4 linked regions of the Callithrix jacchus genome follow. The protein of the gene in region 3 purifies or fractionates together with the protein of the main gene of each other region. This does not show direct contact. Links are inferred from orthologs where the notes say so. Each region holds a gene or a part of one and is shown on either strand. Other genes may lie near its edges.

Region 1 (3,500 bases), about 600 kb from region 3:
GAGCCACCACACCCAGTCTGTTTTATTTACTTATTTATTTATTGAGATGGAGTTTCACTCTTGTTGCCCAGATTGGAGTGCAATGGTACAATCTCAGTTTACTGCAACCTCCATCTCCTGGGTTCAAGCAATTCTCCTGCTTCACCCTCCCGAGTATCTGGGAATACAGGCATGCACCACCACGCCCAGCTAATTTTGTATTTTTAGTAGAGATGGGGTTTTTCCATGTTGGTCAGGCTGGTCTCAAACTCCCGACCTCTGGTGATCCACCCGCCTCGGCCTCCTAAAGTGCTGGGATTACAGGTGTGAGCTGCCGCACACAGCAATAGGGAGAGTTATCTTTTATGTTTTCTTTTATTTTGAGACAGAGTCTTGCTCTGTCACCTAGACTGGAGTGCAGTAGCACCATCACAATTCACTGCAGCCTTAACTTTTTGGGTTCAAGCAATCCTCCCACCTCAGCCTCTTGAGTAGCTGGGACTATAGGCATGCACCACCACACCTAGCTAATTTCTTTAATTTTTATTTTGTAAAGACAGGGTCTTGCTATGTTGCCCAGGCTGGTCTCAAACTCCTGGGATCAAGGGATGCTCCCACCTTGACCTTCCTCCCAAAGGACTGGGATTTTTAGGCGTGAGCCACGGCATCCAGTGTTACTGTTTTAAACACTTCAAGTGAATTATCCCATTTAATTTTCCCAACAATGCTAGAAGGTAGATGGAATGATTATCCTTATTTTATAGATGAAGAAACTGAGGCTAAGAAAAGCTAGGCAATTTTCTTGTGAGTGGCAGAGGAGGGATTATGAATGAATGAGTAGCAGAAGAGAAAGTGGCCAGGCGCAGTGGCTCACTCCTATAATCCCAGCACTTTGGGAGGCCAAGGCAGGTGGATCACCTGAGGTCAAGAGTTCAAGACCAACCTGGCCAACATGGTGAAACCCCGTCTCTACTAAAAATCCAAAAAAATTAGCTGGGTCTGGTGGCACATGCCTGTAATCCCAGCTACTTGGGAGGCCGAGGTAGGGGAATTGTTTGAACCCGGTAGGTGGAGGTGGCAGTGAGCTGAGATCATGCTACTGCACTTCAGCCTGGGTGACAAGAGTGAAATTCCATCTCAAAAAAAAAAAAAAAAAAAAAAAAGAAGTGATGACCTAACAGGTGGGCTTTAGGTGACATATTGACATATTTATAGATTTTGTCTGTCGTGCCAGGTTCTGAGAGACTTAAAGGGAGTAAGATGGGGCTCAGGTGGCAGGGGAGGGGCAGGAGGTGGCTTCCATACCTTGCAGCCCTCACAAGTGATACAGCGGTAGTGATAACCAGTTGCCTTGTCCCCACACACGACACACTGCTCGTCTTTGTCCAGGTAACTAGGGATATACCCTGGGAGGAAGGAAAGGATGGAGGAAGGCAGGCATGGCTTGCAGTCCCAGCACAGAGGCCCTCACACTTTTCCCCTTCCCTCAACTTTTTGTTTTTGGCCCCTCTCCTAGACCAGCCTCCCTGGTAGAATCCTAGAGAGACACTGGGGGTGAACTTGCCCATCCTCTGCCCTAAGAGTATGAAGAATCTCAGGTCTTCTGATTGCCCATTCAGGGCTTTCTTCTTGCTCTATCTACAAGGCAGAGGATGGTGGGGAGGGAAAAATAAGTGTCAGCAGCTCACTGGGGAGGGGAAAGCCCCTCAGTCCTTCAGCTCAGGTCCTGATTCCAGTGGGGCCTCAGATGAGGGTGTTAGGGAAGGAGGGAAGAGGCCTTCATGATCTAATACACCCTCAAAAGCAGGGTACATCCCCCATCACCTTTCTCACCCCAGACAAGGCCATCCCAAGCCCTCTAGGAGGCTCCCCGCAGGGAACACAGGAGCTGCTGGGACACGTCCAGGTCCGGAGGAGGCCTGGCCAGGTTTGGTGGGGTCGGGTGTGGAGAAGGGGCACGCATGGCCAGCCTCACCTGACATGCTGGTTTTCAGGGAACATTGGCCGTTCTTTCTTTTTCTCTTTCCATCTGGTGACCTGGCACTGGATGGGGGTAAAGTGGATAGAATCACAGAGCAGTCTTTGGGCAACCCCCTTCTCCTCCGAGAGGCTTATACAATCCCCCCAGGCCTGATTCTTTCCATTTTGTGTCCTCATTCTACCTCCCTCGACCCCCCTGGGTCAGCTGACAATGCTTAAAAGGGTCCAGCTATCTGGAAGCTGCAGGAGAGAAAGATAAGGGGCTTGGCTGCAGCACAAACCTGCTCTAGAGCCCCAACACACACACGTTCACCCGCCAGAAGACCCGAAGCACACCTGAAGCTCCCATCATCCACGGGACATCCTCATCTTGTAGTACATGATAAATACGCTGGAAGAATTCTCAGGATATGCTTAGAGCTACGTAACCTATAGAACACACACATACATATGCAACATAACACTGGCGCGGATGAATAACCATGCAGCCTTCGCCATAAACCCAAGTATAGTAAGTATGCGCCAGGGCTGACATATCTGTGTAATTTCCGGGGCATTGTTTTTTTGTTTTTTTTTTTAATTGAGATGGAGTTTCGCTCTTGCTACCCAGGCTGGAGTGCAATGGTGCAATCTCGGCTCACCGCAACCTCCGCCTCCTGGGTTCAGGCAATTCTCCTGCCTCAGCCTCCTGAGTAGCTGGGACTACAGGCATGTGCCGCCACGCCCAGCTAATTTTTTGTATTTTTAGTAGAGACGGGGTTTCACCACGTTGACCAGGATGGTCTTGATCTCTTGACCTCGTGATCCACCCACCTCGGCCTCCCAAAGTGCTGGGATTACAGGCGTGAGCCACCGCGCCCGGCCTCCAGGGCATTCTTAATGTGCTATACGACCTCCAGGATATGCCCATGTGTTACGCAGCCCTCTGCACAGGCACCTCATGAACTCACCCCCATCCCTCCCGTGTGCAGGTGTTGCTTGAGTTCCACGTCATACACACATGCTAAGTAACCCACAGCAATGGAAAACACTAGAGCCACCCTCTGCACAGCCTACATTTAACAGAGCAGCAAGCTGAGGCCCCACTTGTGCCTGGTGACACCATGAGCTGGAGTCAGCCATGCCTGAGCCCCTCTGTGCAAAGTATTATCAGCAACCCTCAGCCACTGCACATATATGTTGCCAGCTCTCCACACAAACGTTACATAACCTCGGCGCACACAGGTTATGTAAGCTGTCTACATGCATGCAAGGATTGCATAACCTCCGCACCCACCCTGCCTGTGGCATGTTGCAGGCCCCTTCCTCCTGGAGCCGGATACAGCTCCCAACACACTGACACAGTGACCTTGGCCAGGGTCACAGTCACAGACAGCCCTGTGCTCCACGCCCCCTGGGGATTACTCCTGTCTAGTTCCTACGAGGCTGAAAGGTCAGGTCTCCCTCCCGTCTTCCAGAGGGTTGGCTGCAGGGGAACTCAGGCCACCTAGGCCCCAGTGGAGCTGGTGTCTTCAGCAGTTACCACCAGACTCACAGCCTCT
Region 2 (2,270 bases), about 2.6 Mb from region 3:
GGGCAGAGCACCCTCTGCATGGGCTTGCTGTGAGGATTAAGTGTGGTATCTGAAAAGTACTTAGCACAAATGCATGCCACCCAGTAATCCAAATAATTAGTGGCTTTGAGAGGGTGCTCAGCCCTGTGAGGAACACTCAACAATTGTCCTAGAAGGATTTCAACCCTGCTCAGGGAGGGCAGTTCTGGCAGGACTAAACCTCCAGTCACCAAAAGGCACTGGACCCCCACTCCCACCCTGCCACTCCATCAAAGGCAACCACGGATGCCCAGGGGCCCGTGCCAGGCAGGGGCAGGGATGACCTGCCAGGCAAACTCCCCTTGAGGCCAGCCGGGAGAGGAGTTCCTGTTCCACACTGGTTCAGCAGGTGAGTGGAGGGAGTTGAGGAACAGAGGGTTGGTTCTGTGTCTGAACAGAGTAAGAGAAACATTTTCCTCTAAATGATCTGAGAGCATCCCACTATGAATTTCTCAGTACAGAAAGCATGATGTCCAGAAACAGCAGAGTACAAGTCCTTTTAATTATGCGTTTGAATGTCACAAGTCAAAACAGGAACACAAGGTAGGCTCCAGCTCCCTCCACCCGCGTGAGGAGCCCTTGTTCATTTCAGCCTTGCATTCAGACCCCAAGGGTCTTAGATTTCCATGTGCTTCATGTTTCATGGTATCTGTCAGAGCCTTAAAAGTGGCCGACCCGCAACTGTGAAATTTCAAGGAAATAACTGATTCAGTTAAATAACAGTTCCAAGGTAGAACTGGTCTAACAGGTGACCACCCACTTGAATTCCGAGCCTACTTTTTTGTGCAAAGCCACTGAAATCTGGTCTCCTCCTTCACACATCCCCAGGTCCCCAATATACCACCCACATTCTGATAGGTAGCTGCAGTTGGACACTAATGGCAGCTCTGCTAAAAACATCTTCACCCAGTCCTCCTACCAATGAGGTCAGTTGGCGGGCATCTGCTAAGTCCCCGAAGTGGTCAGCGCAGGTTGTGTGCTCATTCCTAGACCCAAACAACACTCCAGGACTTGGCACCCCCTCTTGGAGAAGCAAGGGTGAGAACTACTCCTACCTCAATTTGACAGTCAAGGGAGAGCAAACAAAGAAAATGTCCCATCCGGAAGAAATCAGGGATGCTGGGGAAATGAGGGCTGCTATAAACCTTTAAGAGCTCAAACTTGGCTGTGTCACTGTCAGGCCTAGCTCATGGCTGAGGACCACCCGAACTGCCCCTCTCTGAACACAAGGTGCATCATGAACCCCTCTGCAGCATAGTACACATCGCTGCCACAAGTGAGAACAGAAGGGAAAGACCTTTTCACCACGGCAATGGGAATCTGAAATGACAGAAGACAGGTCTGTCCGCCTGAAGACCTCTTCCAGCCTGAGTGGAAAGGACGGCCCCTTGCCAGCCCTGGGCACTGACTGAAGGTGCCGAGCAAGGAAGAGAGCAAGCGCTGAAGGAGAGGAGAGTGCTAGGAAGCAGGGAAGCTGCAGCCAGGGGCTGCCTGGCAGGGGTGTGGGCCGACACCCCCACAGCTATAGTTCCTTCACCGCTCAAACAGAAAAGGAACCAAACTGGGAAAAAAGCCACCCTGTGGCCTTTCAAAACATTCTCTCACAGCTCTATGCCATATGAGCGCAGGCTTAATTTGTCCAGTGGATTCTATGCAAGTGTTTCAAGAAGCTGCTGCTAACAGGAACAATATGTACCTGGTACACACTGATCCTATGGGGGTGGGAGGAGGGGGAGGGAAGGAAGCAGAGAGGAACCGCCTCCCTTCTTACTGTGTTCTTCAGATCTGTCAGTGGGGCTGGATGCGAAGCAGATGGCCCCCTCCCCAGAGGCAAGGGAGAGTCCTCCACCCCCTCCGCAGCCTCCAGGAGCATTCTGACTTCCACCAGCAGGCACTCCAGTTATTATGCATCTAGACATATGGATCTACACAAGGAAGCCCCAGCACAGCCAAGCTCTCGGCGCTGGCTCCCGCACAGGAACCCCGCCCCTGCAGCTTGAAGTTCTGAGCTGGGTTCCACAGGAACTGTGCCCCAACAAGCGTTCGGCCGGGGGGGTAGTGGCTGTGGGGTGACAGGCCATTTGCTTCCCTCTTTCTCAGGTGCTCCTGGAAGTCGGCCTCGCTCTACTCCTTGGGGATTTCGAACATGCAGAGGCTCTTGTACTTTTGCAGAAGCTCGTTCTTGGTCCTGACTTGATCCCGGAGGCTGTGCAGCTGCTGCTGCTGCTGTTCAGGGCTCAGGTGGATGCCGG
Region 3 (3,500 bases):
CAGGCCGCATCACCAAACCTTGCTAATTTTTCTATTTTTGGTAGAGACGGGGTTTCACCTGATCTTGTGATCCACCTGCCTCAGCCTCCCAAAGTGCTGGGATTAAGGCATGAGCCACCCCACCCAGCCTATGATTCATCTTAAATGCTCTGAAAGCAGATTTAAGATTAAAAGAAGATTCAGAATTTTTTTTTTTTTTTTTTTTTTTTGAGACAAGGTCTCACTCTGTTGCCGAGGCTGGAGTGCAATGGTGCAATCTCAGCTCACTGCAATCTCCACCTCCTGGGTTTAAGCAATGCTCATGCCTCAGCCTCCCAAGTAGCTGGGATTACAGGTGCATACCACATGCCCAGCTGATTTTTGTATTTTTAGTAGAGATGGGGTTTTGCCATGTTGGCCAGGCTGGTCTTGAACTCCTAGCCTCCAAGTAATCCACCCGCCTCCGGCCTAGGATTTTTACTTTTATCACAAAGATGGGTATGAGTTAAAGAGCAGTGACTAAGAGTGTAAAACTCTGGTCTGAAGACACTGGTGCCTTCTTTTCCTTCCTGTTCCCTGTACACTGAGGCATGATCCCAGTCACTTGCAGCCCACACTTTAGACAGAAGATTGAAAGGCACCCAGCAGGCCCATCGTAACAAGAAAGAGATCAAGGGGCTCTTGGGGTAGCCCAGGTGCGCTCACACTTACCGCTTAGTCATAAGGTTGTTCACGCTGGCCTCAGACAGAAGCCCCTGCTTGCCACATTCTTGGAGCAGGAAGTTTGTACAGTCACAGCTGCGAGGGAGAAAGATGCTGAGGGAACTGTGCATCTGGCTGGGATGTTGGGGGGCAGAGGGAGCAGCAGGTCCCTGAGCATCCTCCTCCCTCTTTCAGGATGAGGAAAATCTGGAGTGCCTGAGGGACAGTAGAGGGGCTCTGCGGACTTGACAACTATGGGCTTCTGCTTTCTGCCCCTCCCAAGGGGAGTGAACAAGGGGACAGAGTCCCCTGAAGCTTTTCAGGCACAGATCAGGGAAGAGCCCAGAACACCTTCCAGTAGGGCAGGGGTGAGCAGGGGAGCTCATACTTGCAGCGCTGGTCAGCTTTGTCCAACAAGGGTGTGAGCTTCAGCAGGAACTCAAAAGCACAGTTGACATCCTCAGTGAAGTCCTAAAAAGAGACAGAAGTGTCTACCTGGTTTCCAGGTCCTCTGCTCCTCCCTCAACCTGCAGGGCAGGCTCACAAGGACACGCTGCTGGATACACAGCCTGTAAGCAGGCCCTGCCCACCGCTGGTTCCCAGCGACTGGCTGGGAAGAAGTACGCGGCATCACTGCTCCCCACAGCGCCACCCGGCCCTTATCATCTCAGGCAAGCTTGACTGCTGGAGGCATCAGCCTGAGCTGCCTAGCTGCCTTCTGCCTGGAGCCTGGGTATATGCTGTGGGTGCACGCACATGCTGAAGCGAACACACACACACTCTGACACAGGTGCACATGCTGAAACACACACAAACTGAAGCACACGCACACTGAAGCATACTCATGCTGAAGCAGGCGCACACACTGAAGCACATACACATACTGAAGCGCACACACACTGAACACACACACACTGAAGCACACATACACACTGAAGCGCACACACACACTGAAGCACACACACACTGAAGCACGCACACACACTGAAGCACACACACACACTGAAGCACACACACACACTGAAGTACACACACACTGAAGCACACACACACTGAAGCACACGCACACTGAAGCACACACACTGAAGTACACGCACACTGAAGCACATGCACACTGAAGCACACATACACACTGAAGCACACACACACTGAAGTACACGCACACTGAAGCACACACACACTGAAGCACACACACTGAAGTACACGCACACTGAAGCACATGCACACTGAAGCACACACACACACTGAAGCACACACACACTGAAGCACACGCACACTGAAGCACACGCACACTGAAGCACACACACACTGAAGCGCACATACACACTGAAGCACACACACACACTGAAGCACACACACTGAAGCGCACACACACAAGCGCACATACACACTGAAGCACACACACACTGAAGCGCACACACAAGCACACATACACACTGAAGCACACACACACACTGAAGCGCACACACACTGAAGCGCACATACACACTGAAGCACACACACACTGAAGCATACATACACTGAAGCGAACACACACTGAAGTGCACACACACTGAAGCACACACACACACTGAAGCACATACACTGAAGCGAACACACTGAAGTGCACACACTGAAGCACATACACTGAAGCGAACACACTGAAGTGCACACACACTGAAGCACACACACTCTAAAGCGCACACACTGAAGCACACACACTGAAACACACACACACTGAAGCACACACACTGAAGCGCACACACACTGAAGCACACACACTGAAACACACACACTGAAGCACACACTCTAAAGCGCACACACTGAAGCGCACACACACTGAAGCACACACGGAAGCGCATGCACACACTGAAACACACTGAAGCACACACGCAAACTGAAGCACACACACTAAAACATACACACACTGAAGCACACTCATGGTGAGGCAGGTGCACACACTGAAACACACACTGAAGCACATACACACACTAAAGCACACACACTGAAGCACATACACAGCAAAGCACACACACACTGAGGTGCACACATGCACACACGCATCCAGCTCTCTTCCAGGCATGAGAACACTGTCCGGTTGGGGCCTGAAGGACCCTTCCCTTGCCCTTGTTTTTGCTCCCATGACTCCATCTCAATTCCTCAACTCACCTTGTCCCCGTGAAAGTATTTCTTCAACTTCACCAAAACCTGTGGAATCTAGGGGGTGAGGCAGAGGGAAAAACAGCAAGATCTGTTTCTTTTCTCTTTCATCTACCCCTGAAGACCTCCCCGCAACCCCCTCCTCCAAGGAGAGAGACAGGAACAGTCCTGCCCTGAGAGTGAGAGCACACTTAGAGCTAAATGACAGCCAAGGCCGGGCGCTGTGGCTCACACCTATAATCCCAGCACTTTGGGAAGCTGAAGCGGGTGGATCACAAGGTCAAGAGATCGAGACCATTGTGGTCAACAAGGTGAAACCCCGTCTCTACTAAAAATACAAAAAAAAAAAAAATTAGCTGGGCATGGTGGTGCGCACCTGTAGTCCCAGCTACTCGGGAGGCTGAGGCAGGAGAATTGCTTAAACCCAGAAGGCAGAGGTTGTGGTGAGCCAAGATTGTGCCATTGCACTCCAGTCTGGGTAACAACAGCGAAACTCCATCTCAAAAAAAAAAAAAAAAGAGCTAAATGACAGCCAATAGGTACCTAGGTCCCTTATGCCCCCAGGCCGAGGCACAGGACACAGGGACCCTGCACCTCTGCTCACTCAACAGAAAAAAAATGCCATAAGCAAAAGTAGATCCCCAGCTTCAAGGAGGACTGGGGCCCCTTTCCCTGGCTCC
Region 4 (3,500 bases), on a different chromosome or scaffold from region 3:
AGCAAAGTGTTCCTCTTGGTAGGTGCTTCTCTCCCAGACTGAAATCTGATCCTTGGTGCAACTCTTGCCTTCTCCAATTTACTTAGCTATTCCTCCTCTTTAGAAACTAAAGAAATTGGTGGATACTGGGGCAAAATTAAACATTTTTTTGTTATGATGTCACCCTTAACTTTCAGCATTAACTTTTTAAATGATTTATCAGCAGAAAATGAACTTTAAAATGGCTTTAATCCTGATGATTTCTGCCAGTTTTACATAAAAGTACGTAATATGTATAATCTGCAGTGAGCTATACAAAATATTTCATATTAATCCTGTTACACAGTAATACAAAAGACAAGGTGTTGACTTGTAAACAACCTTTTCGTGTGTTGTAAATTTCCTGTGTGTCACTCTAGCTTCAGAAACTCCTGACCATGGATCCAACCAAGAGAATTACCTCAGAGCAAGCTCTGCAGGATCCCTATTTTCAGGAGGACCCCTTGCCAACATTAGAGTATGTATCTCGTCTTTTCTGTGTCCTTTGCTCTAGGCTGAGGATGTCGCATGGTGGTTGAAAGCAAGGGAAGCACTTGCTACTGAAGTATTCAGCTTTTTTAGCAATACCACCTAAAGACTGCTTGAGACAAAGCTTCCACATTTTGAAACAGGCAAAGCTGTAGAGAGGTATGAATGAAAACAAGTGTTTTAGGAATGACCATTTGCAGTTTTACAGATGAAAACTAAAGCTGAGACTAGTTAAGATCTTTATAGACCATTTGGCCGGATCAGAAATTCAGCCAAACCAGCAGGTAACTGAGAAGTTAATCTGTCTTCCAGAGCATGTCCATTACGCTACAAAACCCCTGTACTTCATCCTTCTTACCCCCAAGTATATACTTTGTGTTTTCATCTACAAGAGGTGCAGTTATTCTTGTTAAAGCAAATACAAATTAGTTTTGGTGCTAATGAAGTTAGTATAGAGAAACTTCTATGTCCAATATGTTGACTAGCTAGCAGCAGTCAAGATTTGAAATTGAAAGTAGCAATTATTATAAAACTTCATACAATTGATTGTTCTTTTCTTATTGCTTAAGTTGTGATAGGAGGCACATAGCAAACACCAGCCACAGATGAAGAGTAGGAAATAAGTGAAGAAAAACAAATTGGAATTTTAAATTAACAAGGTATGATATTATAGATTTTAGATCATGATATTTTTTTTTCTTTTTAATGATTTTTAGTGTATTTGCTGGCTGCCAGATTCCATACCCCAAACGAGAATTCCTTAATGAAGATGAACCTGAAGAAAAAGGTGACAAGGTATAAACTGCATGCTATACTTTCATTTCCAAAGAGCGAGGGAGGCAAAAAGATAGCTTAGGTATCACTCCATAATTCCTGTATATTTAACGACCTTTTCTAATATTTAATTAAATTTTTATGTATCTTTCCGTGGAAGTTTGGGGATTGTAAAGGTGCCCTGAAGTTTGAAGTATGAGCAGCTCGCGGATACCTGAGCTTCCGGTGTGTGCCCCAGCCTGTTCCACTCCTGGAGTCCCCCTTCTTGCTCTTGCTGTTTGTTTGCTGTCACTGCCACCCCTTTATGCAGGCTGACTTTTGCAAGCATCACTCTATTCTTTCCTCTTAACTGGATATATTGGCTCACTCTCCAGACTGTTCTGCCTTTCCAGAGTCATGATTGAAAAGATTTCTTATAGCTTTTTGTGAGCTCTAAGAAGTCTATTTCTGATGTGCCTGTGGCCGTCTGTGACTGATTTGGAGGATCACTGTGCAATCTAAAGGAACTTCAGGGTAAGAGCCCTGTTTGGGGCTTGGCGCCCTGCCTTTTGGGAACACCGTGCTCCCTGGCTGCTCCATTCTCCTGTCCTCCCAGTCACTCTAGTGTTGCACATAGATTGCTCCCCCAGGTTGGTCAGCAGCCTCATGTGCATATCAAATAATTAAAGAAAGTTTTTGTTAATTTGGTTTCATACCAAGCTTGCTTCTTTCCCCTTAAAAGAATCAGCAACAGCAGCAGAACCAGCATCAGCAGCCCACAGCCCCTCCACAGCAGGCAGCAGCCCCTCCACAGGCGCCCCCACCCCAGCAGAACAGCACCCAGACCAACGGGACCGCTGGTGGGGCCGGGGCCGGGGTCGGGGGCACTGGAACAGGGTTGCAGCACAGCCAGGACTCCGGCCTGAACCAGGTGCCTCCGAACAAGAAGCCACGGCTAGGGCCTTCAGGCGCAAACTCAGGCGGGCCTGTGATGCCCTCGGATTATCAGGTACTCCCTGAATGTCTAATGTTCATATGCTTTATGAAGTGGGAATAGATTTATACTAGACCCTGTTAGAGTTAGGTAACACTTAACTCTTAGATTTGACTGTGCCACCTATACAATCCTATTTCTAGGGCATTCTTTGAAAGGGAAGATTTTCATCATATTTCATATAATTGTAAGCTATCTCATATTCTGCCTTATGTATCCTGAACCCCTTAGGAGAGGAAGGTAGGGAGGGGAGCGCCCCCCTCCTTAAAGAAAACTTCATCATTTTACCCTTACATCTGCCTTAGCAGTGCAGTCGAAAAGAGGAGGCGAGTGGTTGCTTATTATGGACAAAATTAATTGCATTCTTCAGAAAGATATGCTCTTCCTGGGAGAAAATAGCTACATAGATGAAGAAGAGAAGGGGGCTAAGACTGAGGCTTCTCTGAAATAACTGTTAAGTCTCAATAGAAATAATTTTGAGACTAGAAAATACTGTTATTCAGATAAAAAGAGAACACCAATTGCAGTACTAATTCCGGAAATTAACGGAACTAAGTTTAAGGATTGGTATTTGGAGAGAAAGGTAAAAATACCCATTGTGATAACTGTAGGAAATCTTGAAAAATAAAATTCTTTTCAAGGTAGTAACAAGTTAAGAAAACATCCAAGAAGAAGAGAAAACTTAATTTTTTTTTTTTTTTAAGTTTAGAACCACAGTCCCTCAGGGAACTCTTGGAGATGAGTACTTAGGATAGAGTTAATAGAAAACAAAACCTCTGGCAAGGGAGCCATAAACTCACTGATGAGGAACTGCAATAGAGAGAAACGGTAACAAGAAGGACGTAACAAATAGCTGCCTAAACTGCCTTTACATTTTGAATAGCTCCAAAACGAATGTGTTTCCACACAGCTACTTCTCTGAAAAACTTCTCTTCTGAAGATCCCTGCCAGCAGAAGGGTACATATTACTTCCACTTGGTTCCAATTAAACAAATTGAGGCTTCAGTTTGATCTGAAAACAGCTTGCTATCTGGGTAGTAGCACGAGCATATTTGAATTTTGTTATGAAATCTGTTCCCCACCCTGTTATCTGAGCAACAAATACTTCCTATATACTGGTTCATCTTTGTGTCTCTGATTAAATCATATTAACCTGTGTTAAAAAAATTTACATAAACACTTGTTAAAGTTGGTAAGGCAGACTTTATTCAAGGCAGGGCCATGGCAGTGCGTAAAAACACCACTG

What was found. The genes of interacting proteins can lie anywhere in the genome.
Region 1: the proteins of mediator of RNA polymerase II transcription subunit 24 (region 3) and THRA purify together in Homo sapiens (affinity purification with western blotting; 3 studies listed by BioGRID, with this or other methods). This does not show direct contact. The link is inferred for Callithrix jacchus from reciprocal best matches to the Homo sapiens genes MED24 and THRA.
Region 2: the proteins of mediator of RNA polymerase II transcription subunit 24 (region 3) and MED9 purify together in Homo sapiens (affinity purification with mass spectrometry; 5 studies listed by BioGRID and IntAct, with this or other methods). This does not show direct contact. The link is inferred for Callithrix jacchus from reciprocal best matches to the Homo sapiens genes MED24 and MED9.
Region 4: the proteins of mediator of RNA polymerase II transcription subunit 24 (region 3) and CDK19 purify together in Homo sapiens (affinity purification with mass spectrometry; 6 studies listed by BioGRID and IntAct, counting the BioPlex papers as one, with this or other methods). This does not show direct contact. The link is inferred for Callithrix jacchus from reciprocal best matches to the Homo sapiens genes MED24 and CDK19.

Annotation. Positions count from the first base shown.
Region 1 is NC_133506.1:71,685,831-71,689,330, reverse strand, and holds part of THRA (thyroid hormone receptor alpha), read right to left. Parts: intron 2,023-3,500; coding exon 1,955-2,022; intron 1,386-1,954; coding exon 1,285-1,385; intron 1-1,284.
Region 2 is NC_133506.1:69,656,775-69,659,044, forward strand, and holds the end of MED9 (mediator of RNA polymerase II transcription subunit 9), read right to left. Parts: coding exon 2,143-2,270; 3' UTR 501-2,142; downstream 1-500.
Region 3 is NC_133506.1:72,288,023-72,291,522, reverse strand, and holds part of mediator of RNA polymerase II transcription subunit 24, read right to left. Parts: intron 2,878-3,500; coding exon 2,830-2,877; intron 1,153-2,829; coding exon 1,070-1,152; intron 778-1,069; coding exon 691-777; intron 1-690. UniProt on the Homo sapiens protein: Component of the Mediator complex, a coactivator involved in the regulated transcription of nearly all RNA polymerase II-dependent genes.
Region 4 is NC_133505.1:116,792,894-116,796,393, reverse strand, and holds part of CDK19 (cyclin-dependent kinase 19), read left to right. Parts: coding exon 1-18; intron 19-398; coding exon 399-496; intron 497-1,223; coding exon 1,224-1,302; intron 1,303-2,002; coding exon 2,003-2,269; intron 2,270-3,500.